4 linked regions of the Tamandua tetradactyla genome follow. The protein of the gene in region 3 interacts with the protein of the main gene of each other region in a pairwise test. Links are inferred from orthologs where the notes say so. Each region holds a gene or a part of one and is shown on either strand. Other genes may lie near its edges. The genes, in order: HSF2, TNNT1, TPM3 and THAP1.

What was found.
Region 1: the proteins of TPM3 (region 3) and HSF2 interact in binary tests that used the Homo sapiens proteins (3 or more experiments, as listed by UniProt). The two-hybrid records come from large-scale screens. The link is inferred for Tamandua tetradactyla from reciprocal best matches to the Homo sapiens genes TPM3 and HSF2.
Region 2: the proteins of TPM3 (region 3) and TNNT1 interact in binary tests that used the Homo sapiens proteins (3 or more experiments, as listed by UniProt). The two-hybrid records come from large-scale screens. The link is inferred for Tamandua tetradactyla from reciprocal best matches to the Homo sapiens genes TPM3 and TNNT1.
Region 4: the proteins of TPM3 (region 3) and THAP1 interact in binary tests that used the Homo sapiens proteins (3 or more experiments, as listed by UniProt). The two-hybrid records come from large-scale screens. The link is inferred for Tamandua tetradactyla from reciprocal best matches to the Homo sapiens genes TPM3 and THAP1.

What each region holds. Positions count from the first base shown.
Region 1 is NC_135331.1:183,474,704-183,482,370, forward strand, and holds the start of HSF2 (heat shock factor protein 2), read left to right. Parts: upstream 1-4,658; 5' UTR 4,659-4,745; coding exon 4,746-4,838; intron 4,839-7,667. UniProt on the Homo sapiens protein: DNA-binding protein that specifically binds heat shock promoter elements (HSE) and activates transcription. In higher eukaryotes, HSF is unable to bind to the HSE unless the cells are heat shocked.
Region 2 is NC_135342.1:4,549,650-4,556,577, forward strand, and holds the start of TNNT1 (troponin T, slow skeletal muscle), read left to right. Parts: upstream 1-3,923; 5' UTR 3,924-4,118; coding exon 4,119-4,323; intron 4,324-4,749; exon of another isoform or gene 4,750-4,897; intron 4,898-6,460; coding exon 6,461-6,503; intron 6,504-6,600; coding exon 6,601-6,614; intron 6,615-6,928. Other genes in the region: TNNI3 (troponin I, cardiac muscle), read left to right, coding at 761-771, 1,013-1,058, 1,511-1,552, 1,869-2,000, 2,298-2,387, 2,816-2,992, 3,677-3,760. UniProt on the Homo sapiens protein: Troponin T is the tropomyosin-binding subunit of troponin, the thin filament regulatory complex which confers calcium-sensitivity to striated muscle actomyosin ATPase activity.
Region 3 is NC_135330.1:7,154,260-7,162,137, forward strand, and holds the start of TPM3 (tropomyosin alpha-3 chain), read right to left. Parts: upstream 3,017-7,878; 5' UTR 2,934-3,016; coding exon 2,817-2,933; intron 2,237-2,816; coding exon 2,111-2,236; intron 1,944-2,110; exon of another isoform or gene 1-1,943. UniProt on the Homo sapiens protein: Binds to actin filaments in muscle and non-muscle cells. Plays a central role, in association with the troponin complex, in the calcium dependent regulation of vertebrate striated muscle contraction.
Region 4 is NC_135329.1:18,331,006-18,338,195, reverse strand, and holds the start of THAP1 (THAP domain-containing protein 1), read left to right. Parts: upstream 1-4,169; 5' UTR 4,170-4,181; coding exon 4,182-4,273; intron 4,274-6,435; coding exon 6,436-6,631; intron 6,632-7,174; coding exon 7,175-7,190. UniProt on the Homo sapiens protein: DNA-binding transcription regulator that regulates endothelial cell proliferation and G1/S cell-cycle progression.

The sequences.
Region 1 (7,667 bases), on a different chromosome or scaffold from region 3:
CACTATCATTAAAACATAAATAACCTCAAACCTGGACCTCCTATAGCAATCTATCAATGTCCGTCATTTCTAGGATTCTGTTACTTGCTCTTCTAATAGTTCCCAGGTCATATGTCTCTCAGTTGACCTACCCTTAAGCTCTCCTTTTCTTAATTTTCTTCCCTTATAAACAACAAGTTTATATGGATTGACATTTAATAACTGTATGGGGTTTTCCCTCTTATTAGGCAGAGTATTTTTTTCCCCAAGGGTTTCAAAAAACTGAAATTATTCATTCAACCCATATTTATTGAGTAGCTACTTTGTCATTAGCTGTGCTTTGTGCTAAGAAAAGAAAAGTGAACCTTTTATTCACTCTGCTGGTCTAGTAAGGGTTGCTGAAAAGTAAATAAGCAAGAGAAGTGTGGTCAAATTCCACAAGCTATGATAGCATATGGGAGGAATAACGAATCTAGCTTAGGAAGACTAAAGGAATGTTTAGCACATACCTGGCTGGATGATGGTGCCTAGTTCTGTTCATATATTCATTGATTAATTCAATAAGTTGTACCAGGCTGTCTGATAGCCATTATAGATAAGTAGATAGAAATAAACATAAATATGACATAGTCTTTACGTTAAAGTTTCATACTTTAGTATAAGAAAATACATGTAAACAAATCATTACAATAAGATGTGGTAAGTGCTGTAATAAAGGTCACCTGGGAAGATTTTCCAAAAGAGGTGACCTCTGCATAGACTGTACTTGAGGTGGTTAAGGAGAAACTTGAGGTGGAAGTGGGTAGGGATAAGGCTCTCCAGCTAGAAGCAACAGCTTGTAGAAGTACACAGAAGTGTAAAAGAGCCTGGTCATCAAGCAATTGGGTGTGGCTAACTGTGAGGTGTTTGTAATGAATGGTAGGCCTTGACTGGGATAGTAGGTGGGGCAAAGATAACAGAAAACCTTTTATGCCATGCTAAGGGGGTTGGGTTTGTTCTGAAAATTACGGGAAACCACTGAAAGGTTTTAAGTCTGCAAGTGACCTTTTCAGACTTATAGAAAAATATCTGTAGAGATTGTGAGGGTGAAGCGGAGAAAGAAGCTATTTATTTGATCCTGACAACCATCCTGTGAAGTAATTACAGCAGATATTTTAATTAACATTTTATATATAAGGGACTAGGGCTCAGAGATGCTAAGTGGCTTGCCTAAATTCTTCTAGGTCATTCCAGAATTGAGGAAAGAGAACACTATGTCCAGATAGGAATGTAGGCGGAAAGTTCTATGAGTTTACCATTAGTTCAATCATCCCAGCCTTGAAAATAATCTTAAAAAACTGATTCTAGTTGCACTACTGATTCTAAATTTGACATAACTGATTGGATGGAATTTATAGCAATCTGAATCAGCTGCTTTAAAGCATCACCTTGCTCCATAATATGTTTTTCTATTTCTTGGGCAAAGGCCTAGGTCACTTGTGTTTTCTAACATTATTTTAAATTTTCTAAATCTTAAACTCCATGCAAATGACCCATGGAAATAGTCCAATATTTTTCTTTGGAGTTAATAGAAGATAACTCACTTTAAGAAACTGATACTTTTACCCTCTAATATTTTAAACATTTCAAAACTGTCGGCACTGCCTCAGATCTGTTTCTTCTGATATTTGTGGAACATTTTAGGTGACAAATATTTGTGAAATAAAAAGGTTGACTTGTTTTTCTTACCCTTTCAGTTTTACAAATAAGAAAAAGCCAATAAATTATTTTCTTTTCCCCAAACATGTCTCTAGTAAATAAAGTTTTCAGAACATGTTATTAATTAGAATAAAAGTTAAGAATTAAGTACACAGAAAAATGAAACAGTAGGTGGTTACAATTATTCCTGGAATGTCTAGATTTTGTTAAGAGGTAACAAGTCTGTACATGCTAGCAAGAAAAGGTCAGTTAACTAATTTTGTCTCTGTAATAGCGGTTCTTATAGGTATCCCAGGAGCTAGCAGCACTTACATTACCTAGGAACTTGTTAAAAACGCAAATTATTTTTAATTTTCTGTACTGAAAAATTTAATTTTCTGTATGGAAAAATTTAATATTCTGTACTGAATCAGAAACTTGGAGGTAAGAGGGAGGCCTAAAGGTGATCCTCATGTAGGATAAAATTTGAGACTCACTGGTGTAAAGGAAAAAAGCGTATGATTTAAACTAAGAAAGATATGGTTTCAGTTCCTACCTAAGCTCTTTTAGTTTGCTTATGCTACCAGAATGCAATATATCAGAAATGGGTTGGCTTTTATAAAGGGGATTTATTAAGTCTACAGTCCTAAGGCCATAAAAATGTTCAAACTAAGGCATCCAGAGAAAGATACATTGACTCAAGAAAGGCCAATGGGGTCTGGAACACCTCTGCTAGCTGGGAAGGCACGTGGCTGGCCGTTGCTGGTCCTTTGACTTCTGGTTTCAAACAGCTTCCCTGGGGACATTTTCTTTCTGCATCTCCAAATGTCTCTGTCTATGTCAGCTCTGAGCTCTCTCCAAAATGTTCCTCTCTTAAAAGGACTCCAATAAACTAAACAAGGCCCACCTTGAATGGGTGAGGTCACATCTCTAATCAAAAGGTCACACCCATATTTGGGTGTGTCACAACTCTATGGGGACAACTTAATCAAAAGGTTACACTCCACAGTATTGAATCAGGATTAGAAGAACAAGGCTTTTCTGGGGTTACATCACTTTCAAACTAGCACATCAACCATGTGGTTTTGAACATGTCGTTTAATTTCCCAGAGCCATGGCTTCCTTATCTGGTTAATAACTTATGCTCTTAGTTAGTCTTATGAGTATTAAAAAACTACCTGTGTCACTTGTTAATTTATTTATTGGCCATCTGCCATCTCCAAACAATCCAGATGCATGCTTAAGAGAATCACTGGTCTAGAGGATATCACAATTTTGCAGGGCCAAGTGTGAAGTGAAAATGCAGGGACCCTTGTTCAAAAATTGAGAATTTCTAGGTGGTGATAAAAGCACTAAACCAAGTGCAGGGTGCTACTACACATGGAGCTCTATATGACTGCACAGATCGAGGAGATCTACAACATACAATCTTGTACGTACATCTCGTAGTACAATTTTGTACTACAAAAGCGGAACGAGTGATTTCTGCCTGCATCAACCCACAACTTTTCTTTAGATGGAATTTAATAGATAAAGCCATACAAGTAGGCTAAAAGCAGCTCTAACCACCCACCCAGATTACCAATCTAGCCATTGCCCACCATAGATAGACCATGCTCAAAATGCCTTACAGGCAAATTAATTCACTTTGGAGCCAGAATGTTCACTGGAAAAAATGGATAGTAAGATCTAGCTTATTGGGTTACTGTGAGGATGAAATGAAATAATATATGTAAAGCCCTGGCATATATAGGCACTTATGAAATATTAGTTCTTACATTCCCCTCTCCTTGACACACATGATTTTTGCTTCAGAAAACAGACCAGTGCTGAATACAAAGGCAATATTCAATAAATAATTAGTGGTTGATGGAAAAATTCATCAGAAGATGTACAAATTTTATTTTTAACACATTTACATGTACCCAGAAAGTAAAACAATCCTTTGTTGAATATTTTACAAAATGTTAACTATCATCCCTGACTGGTTTGTAAATTCTTATATTTCCATGCTGACTTTTTAAAGTATAATTTGGTAGAATACTTGGTATTTTCAAAGCATTTCACATCTATTAGGCTATTAAAGTCACTAATAAGGTTGAAAGAACAAATATTCTTATTCCCAATGAAGAGATGGGGTAGACTGGGCCAGATAGATTAAGAGACTGCTCTGAATTACACACCAGGGTAATTTAGTATACACAAAGCTGGGTCTGACATTCAGATCTGCAGACTTCTTGTTCAACATCTTTCCATTAAACCAAACTACCTCAAACAAGCAAAAGTATACCTGTAATATATATACAGGAACTTTTTTTTTTAATTGACTACAATAGTATGAATGAGGCTATTTCTTTCCACGCCGAGCTACAGTGAGCTCTGGAAGTTTGCTGAATGGAAAAAATACAAGATGCTTATGACAGCTCCTGGCTCATAATAATAGCTGCTTAGCAATGAATGAGTTTTTTTTTTTAAATAAACATTTTAAAGGAGCCACTTCCTCCCAATGAAAAATTAAGGACGAGGACAAGGTTCATTATTTTTAGGACTGTTTCCATTTGGGGCCTAGCACATCATGCTGAAACTACTGCCTCCCGTGGTGCAAACCACACTTTGCCTGCCAAACTTATGACTCAAAGGCCCTTTAGGGAGTTTTCACAGGATCGCAGCCACAGCCCGGGAACCCAAAGCTGTCCCCACGAGAGGCAACCAACCAGCCCCCTAAACCTGAGGTCCGCTACGCGAAGCGCTCCTTATAAAAGGCGAACGAGCAGGCAGCGCCCCCTTCTGCTCCCACCCCTTTACGTCTGCGACACCCAATCGCTTTACGGTGTCGCCGCGATCGGCTCCTGGGATTGGCCAGGAACCGGACTGGCGGGGGACCGATATACGCGGGTCCAGCGCTGAGACTTGTCCGTCACGTGTGGCAGCCGGGCCTCCCCGCGCGCCTGCCGCGGCCGGCAGTGGGTGGGGGAGGGGGCGGGGCCCGCGCGCCGCTGCGCCTGCGTGGTGGGCGTTCTCGGCGAGCAGCTGCCGCTGCCGCCGCCGCGTTCGGGGCTAGAATTCGGAATCCCTGCGCCTCGTTAACAATGAAGCAGAGTTCGAACGTGCCGGCTTTCCTCAGCAAGCTGTGGACTCTCGTAGAGGAGGCCCACACCAACGAGTTCATCACCTGGAGCCAGGTACGGGCCGGGGCACGGCGGCCTCGGGGACCCCTGAACGGCCGCCTCCTCTCTTCTCCCTCACCTCGGGTTTGTCTCCCGCGGCCTGCGGCCCGACGCGCTCTGCGAGGCCTGGGGCGGCGCGGCGCCTGGGCGTTCGCCCGCGAGGGGGACCCCTGGCATTGTTCGCGCGGGGTGCCGCGGAGGCAGGGCCGGGCTCCGCCGCCTCAGGCCGCGGTGGGGGAGGGGCGGCCCGCGCGGGGCCCGGTAACGGTCCGGCCGGGGGCGCGTTCGGAACCGGCGCGGGAGGCGGCGGCCGGGAGCGCAGGAGCACGTTCCTGCCCACGCACCCTGCGTGCGCCCGCGTGGCTCGCCGAGAGCCCGGGGTCGCCCGCGCGGGGCTCTGTCGGGGGGGATCTTCGCCTCGGCACCTGATTCTCCTCGCAGAAGCGCGCACGGCGCTTTACGCCCGGCGTCTGCGGAAAGGAGGCAAATGTTCAAACCGAGGTTACTGCGTTCCAGTAGGTTTTTGAAATATTACGTTGAAAGTGAAAAATGATTCTTTGAGGACTCTCGGCCTTTTGTACAGCTTTTTAATGATTGTTTTAATAGAAGTGTGACTAGACGGGTGATTCAGTAACTTAGGAGCTAAAATGAATCACCAAATTTCACTCCACTTTACGAGCTGAGTGATACATGAATGTCTTGATTACTGATTTGATCCCAGCTCTGCCACTGAACAAGGATGACCGGAGTCGAGCCCCCAGGCCTGCCTCTTATCAGGATGAGTGGGTTGCCTAGGAGAGATGGAAAGCCCCTTCCAGTTCCAAATACTGAGATTCTAAGAGTGGGTAGATATTTACATCAACCGTGCATTTACGTTAGGATCCACTCCTAGGCTGTTGGGATCAGTTTGTACTGGGAAGTAGATTTCTCCTATTGTGAATAATCAGTTTGGGATATTTTCCTGTGTCGAGTTCTGGAGAAAAGTAAGTGAAAAACTACCTGCACAGTGCCTGGCACTTGTTATGCTGAGTCAATGTTATATCCCTTCCTCCCTTTTCCCCCCATCAGGAAACACAATATTTAGTACATGTAGTTTGGGATACTGTAGCACCACGTTTTGCCTTGTATTTCTGTCATTTGTCCATTTTTTATCTCACTCCTAGGATTTAATTTTCTTGAGGTCAGTATGGTCACCTGGGTCATCATTTTAGCCCCGGGGGACCTAACGTTATATCCTATGTTCTGTTCTTAAACATTTGATGAATTCTGTACAATTCTACAAAGAAAGATGGAAGTAAGGAAGCCAGGAGCCAGCATGTACTTAAAAATAAGCAGATGTCTCATGCTTCTCATCAGTCAGAAGGATTAAAAGTTGACAAGAATGGATCAGCACAGGCTGCTGTTATTCAACCATGTGTTCATGATAGAGATTGGACTGAGATTCTCCACCACACTCCACCCTCCCCCAACTAACTTGATCATACCGTTTTGGTTTGTATAAGCCTTATTTTTGCTGCCTAGAAATGTTTCCCAAATGCGTTGGTTTTATTTAAAGGATATTATGTCAGTGGCAGGTCTAATATATTCTCATTAACCAAAATATCTTGATAGTATTCTTATTTTATGGAAAATGTCAAATGTGGAGAGTTTCATACTAATTCATAAATACATCATTTATGAATAAACAGTCACGTAAAATCATTCTTGTTTGTCCTGTTACTAAGTCTAAACTTAGCTTTAACTATGCATTTTCTAATACACCAATGGGATAATTAAAATTTGAACTCCATGAGGGAAGGAACGGTGTCTATCCCCGTGATAAAATAGGTGCTTAGTAAATGTTTGATGCATGGATGAAATCCCCATAGTAGATGTAATGGAAGTGGTAAGAATGATAAAGATAGAATTATCCCTGAAAAGAATCTAAGAGATCATCTTGTTTAGCATTATCCTTAACGTAGATGAGGATTTGAGGCTTTTTACAGTGTTTCGATTACTTATCCATTACACAGCCAACCAAGATTGGAGGTAAGACTCTAACATAGATGTCCTAGCTTCCAAATAGGCTTTCCATCAGCAGCACTACACGTAATGCCTGTTGGTAGGATATCTAGGTTTATACCAAAATGTTGTTCCTCCACTTTCACAAGTCTGTGGACAACTCTGGATAAATCCTATCTAGGACTAAACTAGTTACTTAGGGCTGCGATCTCTCACTGTTGCTCTTGGATGCGTTTTTCTAAAACCCATGTTAACACTGAAAGGTAAAATTTGAATTAAATAGTGATGTTAGATGGAAGAACAAATTAAGCTGCTCCCATTTTTTAGAAGTTGCTATTTATGGTTGCTTCTGGATTTCTTCAGACTCGTTTTGCTAAACTTACTGTTGAGGTAATTTAACATTTATACTATCTAAGAGAAAATATATTAAGTTTTTTTTAGACGCAGCAGATGTTTTGGAAACCAGGCAATCAATCGTCTATGTAAATTTTTTCTAGTCATGAAAAATAATTTACTTGTCTAGCTTGAGTGCAAGTCAAGGGGAGTAAACTACTAACTGAAGTTTTGAAAGCTTAGCTTAGTATTTCTGAAAACTTTAAGATAACTTTAGTTTTCCTTGAAACATATAATGGGACAGAATTGAAAAGTGAATTTCTCATCATTAAATGTAGAAATATATCCTGAGCAACCAAAATTATTATACTACATGTTTTGACCCTAAAATAATAGAAACATCTATATATTCAGAATGCCTTTAAGAAAACATATACTGTGCATATTTCACTCATTCCCATAGTCTTCCCATGGAAGTTGCTTTTTTTTTTTTCCTTTTTTCTTTTGGGA
Region 2 (6,928 bases), on a different chromosome or scaffold from region 3:
GGTGGCAGGCTCTCCTGCCCGGTCGGCCCGGCCCCCAACAGGTTCCAGTAAAGACAGCTGAGTGCTCTTCTCCGAGTGTCCGTGTGTCTTTCTGGCGCCCAGGCTGTCTCCAGCGGCTGGTGGCGGGAGGGGCCTGGGGAGTGAGGAGGGGAGACCCGAGACGAGATTTCCACGTGAACTGGAGCTGGCGTCTGAAGGGCTGTGGGGTGGGCGCCGGGACCCCCACGCCTGGATCCACAATGGAAGAACTTCCTGAGGGTTTGGGTGCTGACCCGGACGGGAAAAGATCTAGACTAAGGTCTAGCTGTCATGGGGCTTCTGATCACGCCTCACCCCCACCTGCCGCCACCCACCGGGGATGGCCCCCCTTCCCCCTCCCCGAAACCCCCACTTTGGAGTCCTGCGACGTCCCCTTCTAGAGGACATTGCATTTTACTGAGGGGCTGGGGGCCTGGACTGCCGGGTCTGCTGGGCGAGGGGGCCCCGGCCGCCAAGGTTGCGGGGAGATCCAGCTGGAGCGCGGCCAGCCCCGCCCCTCACGCGCCCCGTTATCTCGCATCCTGGGCAGAGGGAGGAGGCGGCGCAGTATATTTAGTCTCTGTCCTTCGTCCTTTATCTCAGTGTCCTCGGGACGCCTGAGCAGCCAGAGGGACCCGAGCGACCCAGGGACCTCCAAGGTCACCCGGGCGCCCCCTCACTGACCCTCTGAGACCCCTGGATCTGTCTCTTGGCCCTCGCAGATCCGGGCCTGAGACTCGGCATGGCGGATGAGTGCGTGAGGGGTGGAGGCCCGGCACCCTGGGGTCCCGGGCTGGAGACGTGGGGGCCGCGTCCCGGGTCCCTGAGCGAGGCGAGGGACGTCTGTCCAGAGGTGGAGGGGAGGGAGCCGGACGCCTGGGACCTAATGAAGGGGGAGCCGGTGGCACGACCTCCGGGTCAGAGGGGCCCTGGGGTCGCTTAGAAAAGGAGGAGGCGCGACCCAAGTCCCTGTCCCCGGTTTCTCTCCCTGCAGGGGCAGCGATGCGGTGAGAGCAGCAGGCTGGGACCGCGAGGCCGGGGTAACCCCTGGGGAGGGCTTGGGGAGGGCAGGGTGGCACCCCGGGGTGACGCAGCCCCGCTCCCTCTACCCAGGGCCCCGCGCCCGCCCCGATCCGACGCCTCTCCTCAGCCAACTACCGCGCCTACGCCACGCAGCCGCACGCCAAAGTGAGGGGCCCACGCAGCGGCGACGGCGCCCATGGGGGTAGAGGGGCCTGCGGGCGGGGGCGGCGGGGACTGCGCCCCGCGGAGGCCGGGCTGGGACTGGTGGGCGCCGCCTCGGGGGCCCCCGGCTGACCCACGATGGAGGGGCGGGGCGGGGCCGGAGCCCCGGACGGGTGGGCCCGGCTGAGCTGCGTGGAAACCCGCACCTGCCTGGAGCGCGCGCGGGCTGCAGCTCCTCCCTCCGCCTGCCCCGGGGCCTCCTCCCTCACCTTTCTTTGCTCCTTCCCACCGCATGTCACCGCGGCAGAAAAAGTCCAAGATCACCGCGTCGAGAAAACTGCTGCTGAAGGTGAGGGGACAAAGCGGTGCTCGGGGCTGGGGGCGGGGGGGGGGGCGGGACTCGAGAGGGAGGGAGTGTGGGGCTTGAGAGTGGGCTTCGGGCGCCAGGGGCGTGGTTTTGGACCGAGTGAGGGCGGGGCTCGCGCGTGGCAGTGCTGAAGGGGCGTGGCTTGAGTCAGCACCCCCCACAACCGGGTTGAGGGGGCGGGTCCCTGGAGGCCCGAAGACAGGGCCTGGGATGAGAGGGCAAGGCAGAGGCGACTCCCCCCGGGGAGAGCCTTCATCCGGCCACCCGGGTGGGCTGCGGTCCCCCTGCCACCCCGCAGACTCTGATGCTGCAGATCGCCAAGCAGGAGCTGGAGCGCGAGGCGGAAGAGCGGCGCGGGGAGAAGGGGCGCGCCCTGAGCGCCCGGTGCCAGCCCCTGGAGCTGGCAGGGCTCGGCCTGGCGGAGCTGCAGGTACTGGCTGCCGGACATGGCTCCTACGCAGCCTGGGACCCTCCGGACCCGGGCTCCGGTCTTGCACCCCTGGGCACTTGGGACAGTCACTCTCACCCCTTCTGCTCAGGACCCTCAGACTCTCTTGGCTCCGAGCACCCTTTGTTTGGATCCTCTTTTAGGATCAGATGTCCAGGGGCCCAGTCTCCTCCTTCCTAAACATTCAAGAGTCTGCTCCCCCAGCCCCTCCTGTGTCAGACCCAGGAACTCAGGCCCCCAGCGTCCACCCGCCCCCCATGCACCCTCCTTCTCCACCAGGACTTGTGCCGACAGCTCCACTCCCGCGTGGACAAGGTGGATGATGAGAGATACGACGTGGAGGCAAAAGTGACCAAGAACGTTAAGGAGGTGGTGATGTTGGGCCGCTGGGGTGCCCGTCAGAGCGGGGTGGGATGTCTTGGGAGAACCTCTCGCAGCCCCTTTTGGTTGCAGTCCCCGGCAGACCCGGGAAAACTGTGGGGACCTGGTGGGGAGGAGACAGAAGGATGAGTATAAAATGGCCAGGAAGGGGTGTTCCTGGCAGAGGGAGCAGCCTGTGGCAAACCAGGCAGCAGTCGGGATGCAGAAGGTGCGATGGTGGGAATGTGTGTCTGGAGCGGGAAGTGATAGATCAGAGAGAGCTTTGCGTTCCAGGATGAGGAGTTTGGATTTTGTCCTGAAGCCAGTGGGAGCCTGAGCTGGGGACTGGATGAAGCCTGGGTACTGCAAGGCAGGGGATGTAGGTGGAAAAGCCGGATGACAGGGTAGTCAAGGGAAGATCCCCATGTGGTTCCCAGATCGCAGATCTGACCCAGAAGATCTTCGACCTTCGGGGCAAGTTTAAGCGACCCACCCTGAAGAGAGTGAAGATCTCTGCGGATGCCATGATGCAGGCGCTGCTGGGGACCCGGGCTAAGGAGTCCCTGGACCTGCGCGCCCACCTCAAGCAGGTGAAGAAGGAGGACACGGAGAAGGTGAGTGTGGTGCTGCGGTCCCTGGGCTCTGGGGGTCAGCAACCCTACGGCATAACCCAAGGAGGTGGTGCACGGAGTCTGGGGTAGAAGCAGCTGGTAAGGGGTCCTCAGTGCCAGGTACAGGAGGGACATAGGAAATGCAAGAGGAAGACAGGAAATGTTACAGGAAGAGAGGAAGCATCAAGGAGGCAAGAAGTGCAGGACGGGGTCAAGAAAGCAAAAACAAGTTAAATAGAAGAGAAGTAAGCAGGGGGGCAGGAAGAGGGAGGGGCAGACAGAAAGTATCATAGAAGAGAGAAATTATGCACGGATGTAAGAGCAGGGGGACAACAGGAGAAGCATGAAGGATACAGGAAATGCAGGAGGGAGACAGGACATGCACGAGGAGAAACGGGAAGTGCAGAAGGGAGATAGGAAGTGCGTGAGGGGAAACAGGAAGTGCGTGGGGGAAACAGGAAGTGCGTGAGGGGAAACAGGAAGTACATGAAGGAAAACGGGAAGCGTATGACGGAGACAGGAAGTGCATGTTGACAGACATTGTTTGAGGGGGCAAGAAATGTTCTCGAATCAGGCCCTTGGACTGGCATCCAGTGTAGAGCCACTCGGCAGCAAGGAGGGCACGTGGGGTTCCTTGAGGGGCCAGAGGTCAGGGAGAGACCCTAACTTCTGGTCCCGTTCTCCCAGGAAATCCGGGAGGTGGGAGACTGGCGCAAGAACATCGACGCGCTGAGTGGAATGGAGGGCCGCAAGAAAAAGTTTGAGGGCTGAGCCCGCCTGCCCGCCAGCCTGGCCCTGAGGATGGCCCGAGGAATAAAGCTTCTCTCTGAGCTGGGAGTGGTTGCGTGTCTACTCCCCCAGGACTTCCGCGTGAGATAGACAGGAGAGTCCAGGGCACGGGCAGGGCGGGGCTCGCGCTCCGGGTGCTGTCGGCCCCTCTGCTCTGGGGGACAGACACACAGACACAGACAGAGCACACCGGCGGAGTCAGGCAGACGGAGGGGCATAGAGAGAGAGAGAGAGCAAGGAAGACACGGAACCATGGAAAGAAGTGCAAAGAGAGACAGCCATATACACACAGGGAGGCAGAGGCGGTGGAGACCCGCTAAGGGGCAGAGCTAGAGAGCCAATGAGGGAGAACTGCCGTCACCCAGAAAGACAGAGCAGGGGACACAGAGTGACCCACACCTGGCCCCCACAGAGGCAGATCCAGAGTCAACAACGGGGACATCGGGGCAGAAGCAGTCAGAGAGACACACAGAGTGGGAAACCACAGAGGCCCAGAGAGACCCGAGACACAGATGCAGAGCCAGGAGATTCCCCGAGGGGACAAGGTCAGGGCTGGGCCGGGAGGGCAGGTTTACCCAAGCCGATCCCTGTCAGTTGGGGGGGCGGGGGGCCGAGGTCACGCCAGGCCCTATGGACACTGCCCCCCCCATACACCTGCTTCCCAGCTTTAGGCCTGTTGTCATCAGAGTGGAATCCTGGTGGAGGACAAAGCAGTGGGGGCGGGGAGAGGGAGACAGAGGGAAGCACTGAGGAGTGGAGACAGACACACAAAGGAGGACACGGATGGCAAGCAAGGTTTGAGAGACGGAGGCCCAGAGACATGGGGAGGGCTGCGCCCCACCCAGCCCTCCCTCCAAGGGCCTCCTATGTGTAGGTCCAGAGACTTCCAGGCATGGGGTGACACAGAGCCCAGCGGGGAGCCCAGGGGGTGGGGGAGGGGCCTGGACCCTGGCTGAGGAGCCTGCCTCGGAGGCAGGGCGCTAGTGTTTGAGGGAAGGAATGCTGCCCCCCCAGCCCCCCCCAGGGGCGGGGCCCATTGGGACTATAAACCCGTGGGCTGCCTCGGTCCTTCGGCAGTGGTCAGCTCATCCCTTTACAGCATCCGCAGACCCGCCTTAGGTAAAAGGGCCCTGGGGTCTCCCCAGGACATGGATGTCTTTGGGGAGGGGGCAGCAGAGGGGCGGCGAGGTATGGAGGGAGAGGGGACATGAAGATGGAGATCTGAGAATTTAGGAGGTTCAGACTTTACTTTAATCCTAAAGTATTAGGATTGGGTGGTTCTGGGGATCTGGGGGGCACCAGGATTTGGATGCTCCAGAAATTAACACCTTAAGAACTCAGAGGTCCCAGAGGCAGGGTGGATCTAAAAAATTGGGGGTGTCAGGACTTGGAGGACAAAAGGTCTGGCTATCAGAGTTTGGGGTATCAGGCCTGGGGGTTCTCAGAATCTGGGGTTTTATGATGGGAGTATTAGCGTTTGAGTCCATGGAATTTGGGAGTTTCACGAACTGAGCATCAGGGCTTTGGGGTTTCATCATCTGTACTGGCTCATTATCTGGAGTACCCAGAATTGGGGCGCAGAACCTGGAGATACGCAGGGCTCAGAATCCAGGGGCGTCATGAATGAATGGGGTTTCAGAATCGGGGAGGACTGGGATTTGGGGAGAGGGTGTCTTCTTTACCTGGGCACCTTGGAACCTGGGGTAGCTCAGAAATTGGGGGGGGGGCCTAAGTATTTAGGGGTTAGGATGAGGTCATAGGCAGGAGCTGCCCTTGATGATCCCCAGTGGCGGTGGACGAAGGTGAAGAGGGGAGACAGGTGGGAGGACCCCCAGCCAAGTGGGGTGCAGGGGAGGTGGGGGCAGGGTAAGAGGTATCACCAGTCCTGCCAGAAGCCCCCCATTCTCGCATCCCTTATTAGGAAATGTCCTCTGATTCACAGTCTACGCCAACCCTCAAAATAGCCCTTGGGGTGGGGCAGCTATTGTCTTCAGGCCACTGTCCCTTCCCAAATACCTCCTCTTAATCCCAGCTCAGATCAGATTCCCCTGGACCTGTCAGGAGACAAAAGGGGACAGCTGGGGTGGGGGCGGGGGCTGCACGGTGGGTGGTGCCTGGACCTGCAGGGCCATCTTCCAGAACCCGTGCTCCTCTGCCGCTTGGGGGTCCAGGCCCCAGCCCCTCCCCCCTCAGGCCCGGGGGGGTCCCTCTGCCCCTCCTCCCTCAGACCCAGGGGTCTCCCAGCCCCTCCCCCCTCAGACCCGGGGGTCTCCCAGCCCCTCCCCCTCACACCCAGGGGGTCCAGGCCCCTCCCCACTCAGACCCGGGGTTCCTCCAGCCCCTACTCTCTCACACCTGGGGGGTCCAGGCCCCAGCCCCTCCCCACTCAGACCCAGGGGTCCCCCAGCCCCTCCTCTCTTACACCCGGGGGTCCAGGCCCCAGCCCCTCTCCCCTCAGGCCCGGGGGTCCCTCTGCCCCTCCCCACTCAGACCCAGGGGTCCCCCAGCCCCTCCCCCCTCAGACCCGGGGGTCCCCCAGCCCTTCCTCCCTCACACCCGAGGTTCCCTCAGCCCCTCCTCCCTCACACCCGGGGATCCCCCAGTCCCTCCTCTCTCACCCCCGGGGGTCCAGGCCCCCAGCCCCTGCTTCCCTGCGACTCCGCTCCTCTCTCTGGTCCTCAGGTCACCCCAAGATGTCGGACACCGAACAGCAGGAATATGAAGAGTGAGTGGCCTGGCGTGAGGGGCGTCGAGACCCCCCACGACACACCCCTCTAACCCTTTCCTCCGTTCTCTCCCCCCACCTCCCACCCTGCCCCCAGGGAGCAGCCCGAAGGTGAGTCGGGAAGGGACGGCCTTAGGGTGGGGTCCGCGTGCCTCTCCGCCAGTGGGAGGGGGGCGAGAGCAGGTGCGGCCCCGCCCCGCCCCCGCCCCCCTGCAAGGGCCCCTCCCCGCGTCGGAGCCCCGCCCCGCCCCCGCCCGCCTGCGAAGGCCCCCTCCCCGCGCCGGAGCCCCGCCCCGCCCCCGCCCGCCTGCAAGGGCCCCTCCCCGCGCCGGAGCCCCGCCCCGCCCCGGGCCCCGCCCCCGCCCGCCTGCGATGGCCCCCTCTCCGCGCGCCGGAGCCCCTGACACCTCCACCTCTCTGCCCCT
Region 3 (7,878 bases):
TAAACATGCAGTTACTGACTCCCTCCTCCTCCTTCCCTTCACCTTACATTTACAACAAGGTAATATGCTCTATTTACTTATTAATCTCAAGGGCAAAAGCTGAGCTTTTAACTTCCTTTATACTGGACAGAGCATCGTTCCCCCAAAGATGCATATATTATGCTGCGTATATTATGACTCTAACTCTTGCTCTCCATTTTAAATCCATTGCCCCTTCCTTATTTAGCCCATAGGCAGAACTGTGCTAACCCCCGCTTTGAGAAAAGAAGGCTTTTCTTCCTGCTTCCATTTTCAACCCACCCGAACAGACTTTGGCTTCATACCCACAACCTTCCTGTCCTATTTCTTGTTCTCTCACGTATCTCTAAGAATACTTCTTGGCCTGTTGGGAAAATTAACACAGGGGAGAGAGGTTTTGTCCCCACACTCTACATGTGTCATTGGTTTTTGTTAGATTCCTGTATAATTGTGAGGAGGCGTCTTTCAAATGAATATACTGAGTTGACCATATCTAGGTTGGGGTGACGTGGTTGTGTGTGTGTATGAGTGGTATGTGTGAGAAACAGTTAATATTCATCCCCAGGAAATTTCTTTATCTTTCTGATAATATGACTATATTGTCTAGAGCCTCTTTTTCCCTCTCCCTCTCCCAAGATCTCAGGTTAGACTTGTTTGGTTTTATTATTTTCATCACTCCTGGAAAAATCTCAAGCACACATGCTAGCTGTTTCAGCATAAGGACTTTCTCAGACAGTTAATACCCAACATCTCACAAAAATGTTATTAACCTAATATTGTGGCAGTTTTTGAGAGCTTCTATCCCCATGACAGCTTACTGGATCCAGGGAGTCTATCTGGAAACTAAGATCGGGCAACTCTAGCAGATCATCAAGCACTCGCCCAAAGCCCTGGGTTTTTTTTTTTTTTCTTCCAGTTTTTAAAGAAAGGATAATTAGTGGTTTGCAAAGCTCCAAACATTTGGAAACTATGGGTATATATAATATATATTATCCACTTTCTATGTGGCATCATATATTCAACTGTTACCACTTCTAGAGGCACTGAAAGTAGTGGAAATCGAAAGAGAAGATCTGAAACCTAATAGCAAAATGGCTGAATGTAAGGATCTGAACTTATTTGTGAATGCCCACTCTGTCCCTCTAGCTAGTTCCCAAATCCAAATATGATTTTCAAGTAACACATGCTCCTATTTTCCTGTTAATTCAGTTCTCTGAGAATTGTTAACTCAGTTCCCTCAGAATTGACTGTTTCCATCAATACTACGATATTCTTCTGTCACTGTTAAGATTCCTAAAGTACATTTCTCCCAGGAATCTTTCCTATCTAGTCTCTCATTTATTTTTGTGGTAAACTTCAAGGTTGAAGATGAAGGAAGCTAGGTGAATGGAGGATAATATGAAGTGGAAAAGAGGATTTATTTCATTTTCAAATGGGAAAATTCAGCCCTTGAGAAGCTGAGTGATTTACTCAGGTTCATAGAGTAAAGTCTGGTGGTGATACCCTTATACCCTAAGATTACTTCTTAGCTTCTATTATAGTCTAACACTATATGAACCTCCCTGCTGCCTTATGGCATCTCCTGGCATGAGGACAGATGTCCAGATTGGCCAAGATAAATAAATCCATACAGGGCCAGGGTCAGTGTGTCCTCTTAAGCCCATTGTGAAATCTGAGCTGTTTTGGGGGAAGCTGGGAGATGAGAGATTCCCTATTAATACACATATCTATGTGCCAAGTTTTGGACACAAAAGCTAAGAATGTAGCATGGGGGAGGAGGTAAGAGTATCAGCAGCCTGGACTTGGAGTCCCTTCCCTTTGTCTAGTTCCTGGGAAAGAGAATTAAATTCCAGGAGGCATGAGGGTAGATAAAAAAAAATATGAGATTTCTATATGTCTTAAAAAAATAAATATATATACCATTATGAGGGTGTTCTAGCATGTTATTATATGCAAAGATATGAGCGAGTATATATTTCTGTCTTCTGTGGACATACAAGTATGTATATGTTGAAGTCTGTGTGGAATTTAGTCATACATTAATGTGAACATCTTTATATAGAGATTACACCATCCCCCATCTAATACTCACATCAGCTGCCTTCTTCTCTGCCAGCTCCAGCTTCTCTTGGGCATCCTTCAAAGCCTCAGAATATTTGTCCAGCTCATCCTCTGTTCCTTTCAGCTTCTTCTGCATGGCTGCTAGCTCATCCTCCAGCTGCAGGAGTCCAGAGAGACACACAAAAACACACATACATAATAGTGCAGCCTTGGACTCTTGGCTCTTGAACGCTAATAGACTCTTGAGTTCAGCCACCATTTTACTATCCAGAGAGACACAATTTCTCTCTCATCATTTTTAGCCCCTGCCCCAAGAGTTATGCTATGACTTGGCCTATGTCTTTGTAATCTCTGACCCTAAGATGACCAAGCCATGCTGGGTTTTCATCTAAGACCCTGGGATGGCAAATATTATCTAAGAGTATAAATGTCTGTGACTCCATTTAAGGAAAAAGAGATGCTGCACGCCAGGCTCCCACCTTTTCCTCTAAAAGTCAGGGATTCTTCCAAAAGATGGTCCATTCCACTTAAATCCTTAGCACGGGCCACTGATTTTCCCAACATCACACAGGTAGTTTGAGGCAGATGTCCTCTGGCCTTCAAATGAGATTGGAGAAAAAAGTCCCTCCTACCCAAAGAAGAAGGTGACAACAGTGGTCTCTTCCTTTCCCATGATAACTCTCCCGTCTCACTATTTTGTTGACCAGCATGTAAGTGAGACCAGTGCCAGTGCCTACCTGTTTACTTCTTTCCTCTGCCTGTTTCTGCTCGGCTTCAGCTTGCTCTGCCCGATCCAGAGCATTCTCCTTGTCCAGCTTCAGCATCTGCATCTTTTTCTTGATGGCCTCCATCATGAGCGGTGGTTATTGGTGGGCTCACCTGGAGAATTGGAGACTAGGTCAAGAAAGGAGGGGCTGCTGCCTGAGTACCTAGGAGTTGCCTAGACTTGAGCCTTTATATCTGCTCTCAGCTCCACCTCTTGTTCCTAACATGGTCTTTCCAGCTCCCTCCATCCCATCTTTGTTTTCCTGGGGGAACACAGGGTGAGACACTTTGATAGACTGACATCACCAGCAAAGAAAAATTTGGGAACAGCTGAGGCTGATTTTAGAAAATGGAAAGTGGGGGAGGAGGCTCTCCCTGAACCCTGAAACTTTCCACTCATTCTGGGAAGCACTATGGTTGTTTTAAAAGAGCAGGGAGAGGGCCAGGGGAAGAGATAGCATTGATATCAGAGAAGGGGACTTTGGAAATTATAGAATGGCATTGAGTTTTCACCCAGAGTCCTAATTGCCCCTCAGCTTCTCCCTTACTCTCACCCGGACTGAGCTGGATACTGATCAGACTGCACTGTTTTTTTTTTTTATCATTTGATTTCTGGTAGTCAGGGAGCTTTGGCAACAATGAAGAGGGGAGGTCATTCATGATCCTTGACAAATCCCCCAGATCCCCAGATCGAATTGCTGTGTTATTTTGGGAATCCCTAAATGGCGGGGTGGGGGGCGTGGACATCTTCCTCCACCCTCCACCCACCCCCCACCGAAGAACCACAGGAATGGAGTAAGAGGGTAGGTTGGAATCTGGAAGGCCATCCCAGAGCTTGAAGTAGGGTGGGGAGAGAAGCAGGGGAGGGTCAGAGTGGGCGCGACAAGATAATACCCTCTTCTTCTCATAGTGTCTTTTAAATAGAACTTTTGTGCCCATACAGACCAAGGTTTTACTGGTCTCTACTCTTCTTTCCCCTCACCCTCTGCCCTTCGTACACCCCACCCCCCACCACTCATATCACAATCAGCAGCAGTAGCAGCTCTGTGCTCCCTGGCTCAGTTCCAGGGCATGTTCATTCTTCCACTTGGAACCTTTTTGCTAACAGGTGGCAGTTGATCCCAGTACACTGGCGCCATCCAACCTGAGAATACGCCAGGGGAGAGGTGGACACTGCTCAAGGTGACCAGAGCTATCAGGGGAGAATATAAATGTCTCTAATTAGTCATTATATCAAAGCTAGATTGAGAGTGTTAATGCTAAGCCCCAGCAATGGGGAAACGGAGATGACCTCCAGGGAAGATGGCAGAGCTGGAATCCACTTCTGAGGGCTTCAGTCACTAAAAGTAGATAAATTGATCATCAGATGTTTCTTGAAGGAAAGCATAGAAGCCCAAGGAAGTAGGGAACAAAAGAGTCCCAGGGAGTAGCAAATGATAAGGTGGGAGACAGGCTGGTGGGGGTTGAATAAGGAGGAAAAAAATACAAGGGCAGGAGGAGATAAGGAAAAGAGCTATATCACCTTTGTCATCCCACTCCCACATCAACACTTCTGTTTAAGATTGAAATCATCATGGGTTTTAGCAATCGGTCATCCAGAAGGGGTCCTGGAAAGAAGAGGTTCACTAAAAAAGCTAAGAATCACAGAGCCCAGAGGTTGAGGTAGGATAAAGTATAATGCTGAATCGCCAACTGCTGTAAGAATGTTTGACATTTAGTTGGTTTCTAATTAAACAACCCAATATCAAACATATCAGACAGAAGCGGGCAGGAAAGCTTTGGTGGTCATCTGCCTTCCTCCCTATTGCAAAGAACAGGCAGTGCAGGTGAACTAGGCATCGATCATAGCTAGATGGCTGGCTTTTGCTCATCAGCTCTTCATGCCATCCCTGCATTTGCTCCTCTCCTTCCACTGCTCTGGCCTTTACTGGATCACGTTGCCCTAATACCAGGGAGGATACCTGGCAGGGCTCCACATCCGGGCACCTATCCTCCTCAAAAGCTCCACAGAGCTTCTCCCCCTCATGTCACGGCTGCAGGACTCTGAGGATCAGCAGTGTCAGCAGCTTCTCCTCAGCCTGCGACTTGCTCTCCTCCTCTCTAATCCAAGTGTCCCGAGGCTTTCCATCCCAGAGGGGCTTGATACCCTGCTATATCTTTTCAATAGAAATCCTAACCTTTCCAGATCACCCCCACAAGGCTGCTGAGGTCCATTCTGGCATCCTCCTGCTCTTAAGTGAAATAGCCAGAGAAATTCCCAATTGCTTGATTTCTTTTTTCCAACATTTTGTCCCTTCTCACCTTCTCCCCATGTCCTCCAGGCATCTTCCTTAAAACCACCCTTGGATGTCCAAAACAGAGGAGTAACTAGTCTCACAAGCATCTCTCCAAGTTTGGCAGCCTCCAACCTAAGCTCAGAGGAGAAAACTTAGGGTTTCCACTGCCTGGCAGGATCAAAACTAAGACTAAGAGACCAAGGGAAAGAAACCCCCTCTACCAGGGAGCAGCCTGAAGTCCTTGGGACCCTCCTCCTCTTCTCTTCTTCAGGACTTTTTGCCACAAGAACACCAGTGCCGGGGCTGCTTTCTCCAAGGGTGTTCCCTCACAGGGATCTGGCCTGGTTTCCTTCTGGGGGATTTTCCTTCCGAAGAGAATCAGATCTGTTGAATGTCATGTGGCAGGCAGATGCTTCTCTACACTGTGGCAGAAAGGATCACGGGTTATACCAGTATGTGGGGGTGGGGTGGGGGTCTGGGGTAGAAGTGTGGGGATGGGGGAGGAGGCTGTGCTGCAGCCTCAGGGCCTGTTCCATGTGTCCTTGTTCCCATTAGTGCAGATACCCATTGCCCCTCCTTCCCCACACCAGCTCTCCCCTGCCCTTCAACTGGATCAATACCCTGCCCCAAGCCCCAGTCAATTTCTGTTGTGTGGCTCTTGCCCTCCAGGGGAAGACTAACAGCACCCAGCTAGGCACTTGTGGTATTCTCTCTCTCTCTTTTTTTTTTAATGCAATTTTATTGCGATACATTCATACAGCACAGAACCCATCAGAAGTACACAATCACTGATTCACAGCATCATCACATGGTTGTGTGTACAGCCCCATGATCAAATTCAGAACATTTTCGTTACCCAGTAAAGAAATAAAAAGAAAAAAGAAAACCTTAAACCTCCCATACTCCTTATCCTCACAGATTATTGACCCATAGTGTTAGTGTGGTACATTTGTTACTGTTTATGAAAAAATATTAAAAATTGCTATTAACTGTAGTCCATAGTTCGTAATAGGTACATTTTTTTCCATATACCCCTCTATTATTATCTGCTTTAGTTCATGAAAGTACTTTTTAATATTTGTACCGTTAATCATGGATGTTGTCCTGTGGTGTTCTCCCTTTTTTTTTTTTTTTCCTGTGATGTTCTCTTATATCCTTGTTCCTTCATGGCTCCCAATGGGGGTGCATGTAATTTTTGCTTTCTTGCCCTCCCTTTCCCTAACCCACCCCCCAATTTCTAATTCCCTTCTCGGAGAACTTTGACCACATTGGATAACCAGAGGTTAAAGGGAGGCAGGCTGGGAAAGGAAATGAAAGGACTTTAGTGTTCAGGGAAATGGGGGACTGGAGGGACAGCCTGGGAATACGGAGGTGGGGGGGAGCAACTCTCTTAGAGGAAGGAGACTTTGACTGGACGGCATACAAGGCAGACACATCAGATGGACTTGAAAGTTGTCTAGCTCTCCTGCAAGGTCCTCTTCTGCAGCCATGTCAAACAAGACTGAACCCTTTTGAGCCAGAGAAGCTGGGTGAAGGCACTAGTTTCAGATGGAAGAAGGGCTGGCTGGGCATGAGAAGGTGAACTACTTCGTTGATTTGATGAGAGCAGACAGAGTAGAGCAATAGAATCAGAGGAGAGGGGCTCTCTGGGAGGGGCAGCCTGCCAATACTGGAGCTAGCCTGGCATTGACAAGCCCTGGGGAGAGAGGCCAAGGTCAGGGATCAAGGCAGATGGGGTGGGGTATTCTGCATGTCCAGATGAACAAAGGAAAGAGGAACAGAGGAATAAAAGAGGTTCCTGAGGAATGTGGTTTAGGTAGGAGCAGCCAGGTAATGAAAAGGAAATAACAGAACATTATTATAGGGCAGGAAGACATCATCATGGGTTACCATTATTTGACATTATGTGCCACCTCCCCGCTAACTGCTTTATATAGTCTCCATTGCAACCCAATGAGGTAGAAATAATCTCCATTTTACATATAAGCAACTGTGACCCAAAAAGTTAAGACCACACAGCCAGTGACAGAGCTAGGATTCAAACCCAGATATGTTCAATGTTAAAATCTGTTTTTCTGACCAAGCTACACTACTTATATGAAAAGCAAAGAACAGCCTGGGATACAGATACATAGGAGGATAAGAGAGGAGGTGAAGGCAATATAGGCCTGCTGAAAAATAGAGGGCAGGGGAACGGGCAGAAAGGATGGGAGACTCATACAGATTTGTGGGTTAAATTCAGGCTGTGTGTGGCTTTGTCTCCTGAAACTCACCTCCTATTTGTTGTGACTTGTTCAATGTCTGCTTGCCCCCACCAGCCTGTGAGCCCCATGTCTTGTTGGGTGTAAGCATCCATGAGTAGTTACTGACTGAAGATAAGGGGGCTTGGGAAACCGTGGTGACAGGGACTAGGGGGTGAATGGGTATGTAGCACAGAGAGAGGAAGAAGAATGGGATGGAGAGTGACATTTGATCTGGATGAGTGTGCTGGCTGGAGGGTCAACAAGGAAACTATGAAGGGTCACAGGGAAATCTGAATGGGAAGGGGAAGATACCTACTGTACACAGTAGGTATCTACTGTGTACTCTGTCTATATACATTATCTCATTTAATCCACATAATGATCCTGTGAGATGGCACGATGTCTCCAATTTCAGAAGAGAAAATTGACGGGCAGAGAAGTTAAATAACATACACAACAATAAAGAGGTGAAGCCAGGATATGAATCAACACCTGGCTCCAAAGCCTATGCTGTC
Region 4 (7,190 bases), on a different chromosome or scaffold from region 3:
CTGACAAACTACCTAACCATCCCAGCTAAAACAGGTAGTGACTCTCCATTCCCCTAAGTCACCTTTAGAGCATTCTGCTGTATTCAGGCATCTTAGCACAATGTTATTTTATTTACATTTTTACTGACTGTTTTCCCCTCACTAGAATATAAACTCTATGCAGACAGAGACTTTGTCTTGCTGACCAATATATTCTAGACCTAGCATAACATCTGCCACAATAGTAGGGGCTGAATAAATAAAGAGTAATAAATAAACGAAAGGGGGAAAAAAGGCAGGAGAGTACACAAGGAAAGATCACTTCTTACTCCTTCATTGCTTCCCAAGTCACCATTATTTCTCACCTACATCACCACAGCAGCCTTATAACCAGTCTCCTATCCTCCTAGTTGTCCCAGTATCTATACTCAACACAGTAGAGATCTCTTTAAAAGATTGTATCAAACCCTGCTTTCCATTTCACTCAGAGTAAAAGCCAAAGTCCTTACACTAGCCTACAAGGGTTTACATAATCTTGTTCCTTGGTTTTCTCTGACCTCATCTCTCGTCTCCCCCAGTCTATCTGGCTCCAGTTACATAGGCCTCTGTGCTGCTCTTTAAACATTACAGGAACACAGTGACCCTATGAACTCTGCCTTAGCCATTCCCTTTGCCTGCAAGGTTCTTCCTCAGGATACCCTTAGCTCTCTCACCAACCCCAAATCTTTGCTCAAATGTGACTTTCTCAATTAGGCCTGGCCTCTGCATTATATTTAAAACTGTTATCCCTCATCTCCATGTAGCACCTTTCGCCCAACATATGTGGTTGCTTATGTTTCCTCTCTGCCTTCCCCAACCCTCATTAAAATTAATTAGCTCCATGAGGGCAAAAACCTGTTTCACTCACTTATGCATCCCAAACCCCTAGAACTGTGTATAGAACATAGCAGATGTCCAGTAAATATTTGTTGAATCAATTGATGAGTAAATAGTTCAGTGAACTCCGAGTTAAAACGTACTTTTTCAGTTCAGTTATCGCATTCTGACATTTATTGCACAGGGAACCACAGAAGAAATTACCACCCGTCTCAATAACCACTTGGAATGCTAATAAGCTATTATTCTGGTGCTTTTGTATATGGATATGGCCCTTACACTATTTTAGAATTAGTTTCTGGGCCCAGTTGATTCAACCAAAAAGTTCTAAATATTTAATTTATGCAAGACACTGCAAGCTACAAGATTATGAAAGACTCAGTTCCTGTTCTCAACAGGATCATAGTTCTAGTGAAGAAAACAGACGTACACAGAAATTACACTATGCGGGCTTATAACTGCAATAGAAAAATAAGTGCGGGTACCTTAAAATTTTAGAAAGGGTAAAATTCTATCAATTTCCAGAATTGACAGAAATCAGATCAATGTTTGCCAAAGGTTGTGGGTGAGGGAAAGAATTTTCTACAAAGAAGCACAAGAGAACTTCCTGCAGTAATGGAAATGTTCTATGTCATGACTGTAACAGGAACTATGCAACCATATATGTTTTTAAAACTCAGTGAATTGCAGAATTAAATTTTGTGAATTTTAATTTATGTAAATTATACTCCAATAAAGCTGATAAAAAATTTACCTGCAAAAAAAAAACAGGATTTCATTAAAATAACAGAGATGCTATGTGATGATATTGGGAATTACTGATTATATATATAGAATGAAATGATCATAAGTTAAGAAAAATAAATAAAATAATAGAGATGCCTATGGTGAAAAGGACAAAGAGGGTAGGGAAAGTTTGAAAACACTTAGATCACATCTTAAAAGTTGACAGGTCAGGGACAGACATTTCTGGCAAAGGGAAAGAGCCTATTTAAGGAAATCATGAGAAAGCCTACCTTCTGTAAGACATGAAGCTGAAAAACAGTTTAAGGACAAATAGAAGGAAGAGTAGAGAGGAGTATCCAGTCCTAAAGCACTTTGTGTCCCCATAAGTCTGGACTTTATTCAGTACACTGCCAGGGTAGCCACTGAAGGACGTGAGCAGTGGAGTGACATAATCTGTTTCTGTGGAGGACGGACTGAATAGAGGCAAAACCTGACGTTAGGACAGTTAGGTTGCAGCAATAGGAAGGGAAGGAAACTATGTGGGGCCTGATCAAGAACCAGTGCCAGAAGAGATGCAAAAGGATGGATTTAAGAGGTTTTTATTTCATAGGATAACCTGGTGATCAGAGGATGTGGCGGGTAAGAAGGAAATCCCAGAAACTCCAAGGTTTCTGGCTTGACCAACTGAATAGACAATTGACAGATGACACTACTGAAGGCATAACACATATTTAAGAAATAACATATTTGGGATGTCATGGCATTTGATTGAGGTGAAGGAGCAGGGTGTTTACAAGGAGGGCAGAGGATCACATCACATGGGAAACATCACATTTAAGAGAGGCAGAAAGAGGTCTGAAATTACTCAACACAATATCTAGGTTTCCAGACTCTGATCTACATAAAGGAGGGGAGCAAGGAAGAAGGAAGATTAAGACCTTTCTTCAATGAGATAATCGCTGTAGGGCTTCGTGATTTCCAGCACAGCAGCTGGAGATCACTGTAGAAACAGCCTTCAGAAGCGGGTTTGCTTGGTTAGTTGCAACGGAATGGCTCACCGAAGCCAGAGAGGATTAGGCCAAACACGTGGGAGTGTGTGCGTGTTTGGTTTCTTACATCGCTAAAAATTTGTCACCTGGGTTTTCACAGGGCCTTGGGATACCTGGAAAGACAGGTAATAGGACAAGATTAGGGCTCGGGAAAAGGGGTCTGCGAAGGTTTACCAATGATATACCACCCGTGACCATCCTTCAAAAGATGAGCGCAATTAGAAAACCACATCAGCGTTACACTCTGGTCTCCTTTAGGTCCTCGGACCCAAAAGGCCATATTTGTTCCTCATCCTAAAACGCCCCAGGAAAACTCTGGACAAATTTACCCACGGAGACTCCAGGAGTAACTGGAGCTTGGGCCAAGTTCTCGCGCCCCTAGCCTACCCTTCTCCCCTAATCCCTCTTTCTCTCTGCAAAAAAACTCGGGGACCCCGCCCACTTCCTCAACGTAGACCCCCAACGCGCAAGACGTCTTGTCTCAGCCAATCGCCTGCTTCCCAGGAAACGTTACCTCTGACCTTGGAGCTAATCAGTGAGAGTGGAATGAACTCCTCGCGAGAGGTGAAGTTGAAGCTGCCTCCGCCATCTTGGAGATGGGAGACGGGCGATGGCTGTGGTCTTTCTGTTATAGCAAGCAACAGAACGGGCGCGGTACTCATACCCGAGTGAGGCTACCATCACTGTAACTGTTGGCCAAAGCTACAGAAGAAACAAGGGTGTCAAAGCCGAAGGCGGCGACACGGATAGCGGCTTCACCTGCCTGCCGTGACGGCAGAAGTGAACTGACTGAGGACCGGAAGGATGGTGCAGTCCTGTTCCGCCTACGGTTGCAAGAACCGATATGATAAGGATAAGCCCGTTTCTTTCCACAAGTAAGTGTCCTCCGTGCCTCGCGGGACCGGCCCCAGCTGGGACTGGGGACGCGCGATCGGCTAGTGTCGGGGGCGGAGCCCGGCGCGGGTCTGCTTTGAGACTGAAGAGGGAGCGGAGGCAGGAGCAGGGGGCGGAGGCAGGGGCGGGGCGCGCCGCGTCGGGGGCGTGCCGGGCGGGGGTCCTCGTGGAGAGGCGCGGCTCCTGCGCCCGAGCCGCGCTCTTCCGGGCCGCGCGCGTTCGCGGTGCGTTGCCGCGGTGACCGTTACTCGTGGTCGGAGAGGCGCACTTGTGTCGCTTGCTGACGGACTCGTGGTGGCGAGTTCCGAGCCCGTGGGCGAGGCGCCGAGTCCCCTCGGGTGCTGAGATGTCGAGGCTCTCAGATCCGAGCCCTGCAGAGTGAGGTGGCGGTAACTCCTCAGCGGCGTTTTTGAAATAGAAACAAAGACATTTACAAAGACGGTGGACGTCAGTTTTTCGTTCCTGAGAAACTTTCTGTGAATGGGCGGCCAGAATCGCAGCAGTATGGATTCATTTTCTGGCCAGGATTTGAGGGAGCGTTTTATTAATTTTTTATTTAACTCAAAGGAACAACGTCAGGGACTCCTAAGTCTTAGAGGAAAGCTTCTGGTACTGCCACGATAACTGATTGTCTTTTCAGCACACCGTAGTCGTAATATGGACCATAATAAATGCCGTGATAAAGGTCAATATGAGGTACTGTGGGAACATAGAGGAAGCCCTCGCAGCCTTCAGGGCTGTTTTATCCAGTAGGTGCTGCAATTACAACCTTATGGCGAAAAATATTGTCTTCTCAATGGGAAAACTACAAAATCGAAATTGAGTTGATGTTGAATGTCTACAGCGTGGGCCATGACGGCATTTTTATTCAGCCAAACTTAGTATTTACAGATTTTAAATTTACGTTAAATTTTCTTTGCGAGAGCTTCCGAATCTACATAGATAGCTGAGAAATCAGAGCAAATAGTAAAATATCAAAAATTTTTCATATTCAAATAATTACAAAAGCCAAATTTTAAGTATTCTTTGGGGTGGGGGGAAATAGAGAGTGGGGATTACATACTGTTTATGTTTAGTCGGGGATGTGGATGATCTTAATCTGTTTGATATAATGTGAGATTGACGCTACAGAAATGGGAGCCTAGAATGTAGATCTTGAAATGGAAGCTTAGAACATAGATTCACGTAGGAGGGTATAGAATACTTGCAGGATTCAGTTCAGTAGAGCCTAATATCTCTTGATTTATTGTAATCTCAGAACCCTAATGACATTGACTTCCAGTAGGAATAGGTCAGATATAGTGCCACTATCGTTTGCATTCAGCTCCCCATCCACGCATTTCTGTTGATACCTCACCTCAGAGGGAATCTAAAAACTCTTCCTTGGCACTGGAAAGTGGTTAAGGATGACATTCACACATTAGAAACATTGAATTTCTGCTGGATATTAAAACGATTGATTCTAAAGAACAGCTAACTGCATCTCACCCCTTACCTAAACAGTATTTGGGGAAGTAGATGGGAAAGATCTTTTTTTTATGAAAAAACGTTTGTTTTATGATTTTTTTATTTAAAAAAATTACAGAAACACAAACATTCCCAAAATGTGATCATTCCATTCTACATATATAATCAGTAATTCACAATATCATCACATAGCTGCAGATTCATCATCCTGATCATTTCTTAGAACATTTGCATCAATTCAGAAAAAGAAACAAAAAGACAACAGAAAAATCAAACGAAAACAGAAAAAAAAAACATACACACCATACCCCTTACTCCTCCCTTTCATTGATCACTAGCATTTCAAACAATTTATTTTAACATTTATTTCCCCTATTATTTATTTTTATTCCATTTGTTCTACTCATCTGTTGACAAGGTAGAGAAAAGGAGCATCAGGCACAAGGTTTTCACAATCACATAGTCACATTGTGAAAGCTATACCATTATACAATCATCATCAAGAAACATGGCTACTGGGACACAACTCTACATTTTCAGGCAGTTCCCTCCAGCCTCTCCATTTCGTCTTAGATAACAAGGTGACATCTACTTAATGCATGAGAATAACCTGCAGGATAACCTCTCGACTCTGTTTGGAATCTCTCAGCCATTGAGATGGGAAAGATCTTGACAGAACCTCACACACAACCTGAGAATTTGTACCTTGGTTCAGGAGGCCATATGCAGCAGGGACCCTCTTAGAAGTACCTTTTCTCCCAGTTTAAACTTGTTGACAGCAGGATGAGCTGTGCTGGACAAAGAGGGGCGATTGTCATTAAGATCAGTTCGCTCTTAATGATAATAGCAGTAAGGCCCTGGCATACCTTAGATGAAAGAGAAACTGTAGAATAGAATATAGGTTTGAAATATGCTTTTTTGGCTTCTTTGAAATCCTCCGGGTTTACTAGATCTTTGACCTGGAAAATAAAATTACAGTAAATTTAAATTCTTCTTACCTCCCTTTATCTGGGCCTAAGGGAGATACTCCATTTACTTAAGAAGTAAGTCAAAATAAAGACATAATTTTCTTTATTTCTTTATCATTATCATTCGCCTATAATTTGATTAATTCAAATTCCATCTGTTCATATTTATCAGATTAATTCTTGAGAACTAGAAGAGTTTTCTTCCCAGCACATAGATATAAATGTGCAACTTTATTTTACAGCACACACATACGTACAGAAAATTACTGGTATAAACAATACTACAAATTCACTTTATGACAAGTATATTGTTTGAGACTTTGTGTCTTCAAATAAAGTTAACTTTAATCAATGAGCTAAATAGATATATGGAGCTATTCTTTAAACAAAAGTTCTTTAGTATGTTAACACCAATGTAAGGTAGTGCTTTTTTTTTTTTAATAATGTCACAGAACTGAGTTATGTCATCTTCTTAGGTTTCCTCTTACACGACCCAGTCTTTGTAAAAAATGGGAGGCAGCTGTGAGAAGGAAAAACTTTAAACCCACCAAATATAGCAGTATTTGTTCAGAGCACTTTACTCCAGACTGCTTTAAGAGGGAATGCAACAACAAGTTACTGAAAGAGAACGCTGTACCCACGATATTTCTTTGTACTGAACCACATGACAAGGTAATTGTGTTTTAAAATATTAGGTGCTTTCCTGTTTATAAAACTAATGTATGTATTGTGGGAAATTTGGAAAATTCAGAGTAATGTTAAGAAAATAAATACTACCTAGTACCCATTACTTATAAATAACTACTATTAACAGAAATATACTGTTTAAAAACATAAGATGCAGTTTATTAAATAAATATTTTCTTTCTTAGAAACATATATTGACTTTGTAACTTAAAGATCATTCTATAACCCTTCTTGTATGTTGGTAAGTTTGGGTTTTTCTTTATCAGCCCATAGTCTTTTGTTCCTCAGTTTTAAGCACTTAGTACATATTTAATTAAATTGAAGTGCTTGTTCTGCCTGTTTATTGCATCATGCTTTACTTCAGGTAGGAAAGTATAACTAAAACTTAAACTGTTTTCTTGTTTTGGACAGTTTCGCTAACCATGGACTCACATAGCAGTCTAATATCTCTTAAATTTTACAGATTAATTCTTTAACCTGTATTTTTAGTTACTCAATTCAAACATAACTCTGCATTGTTGTTTTTAGAAGGAAGATCTTCTGG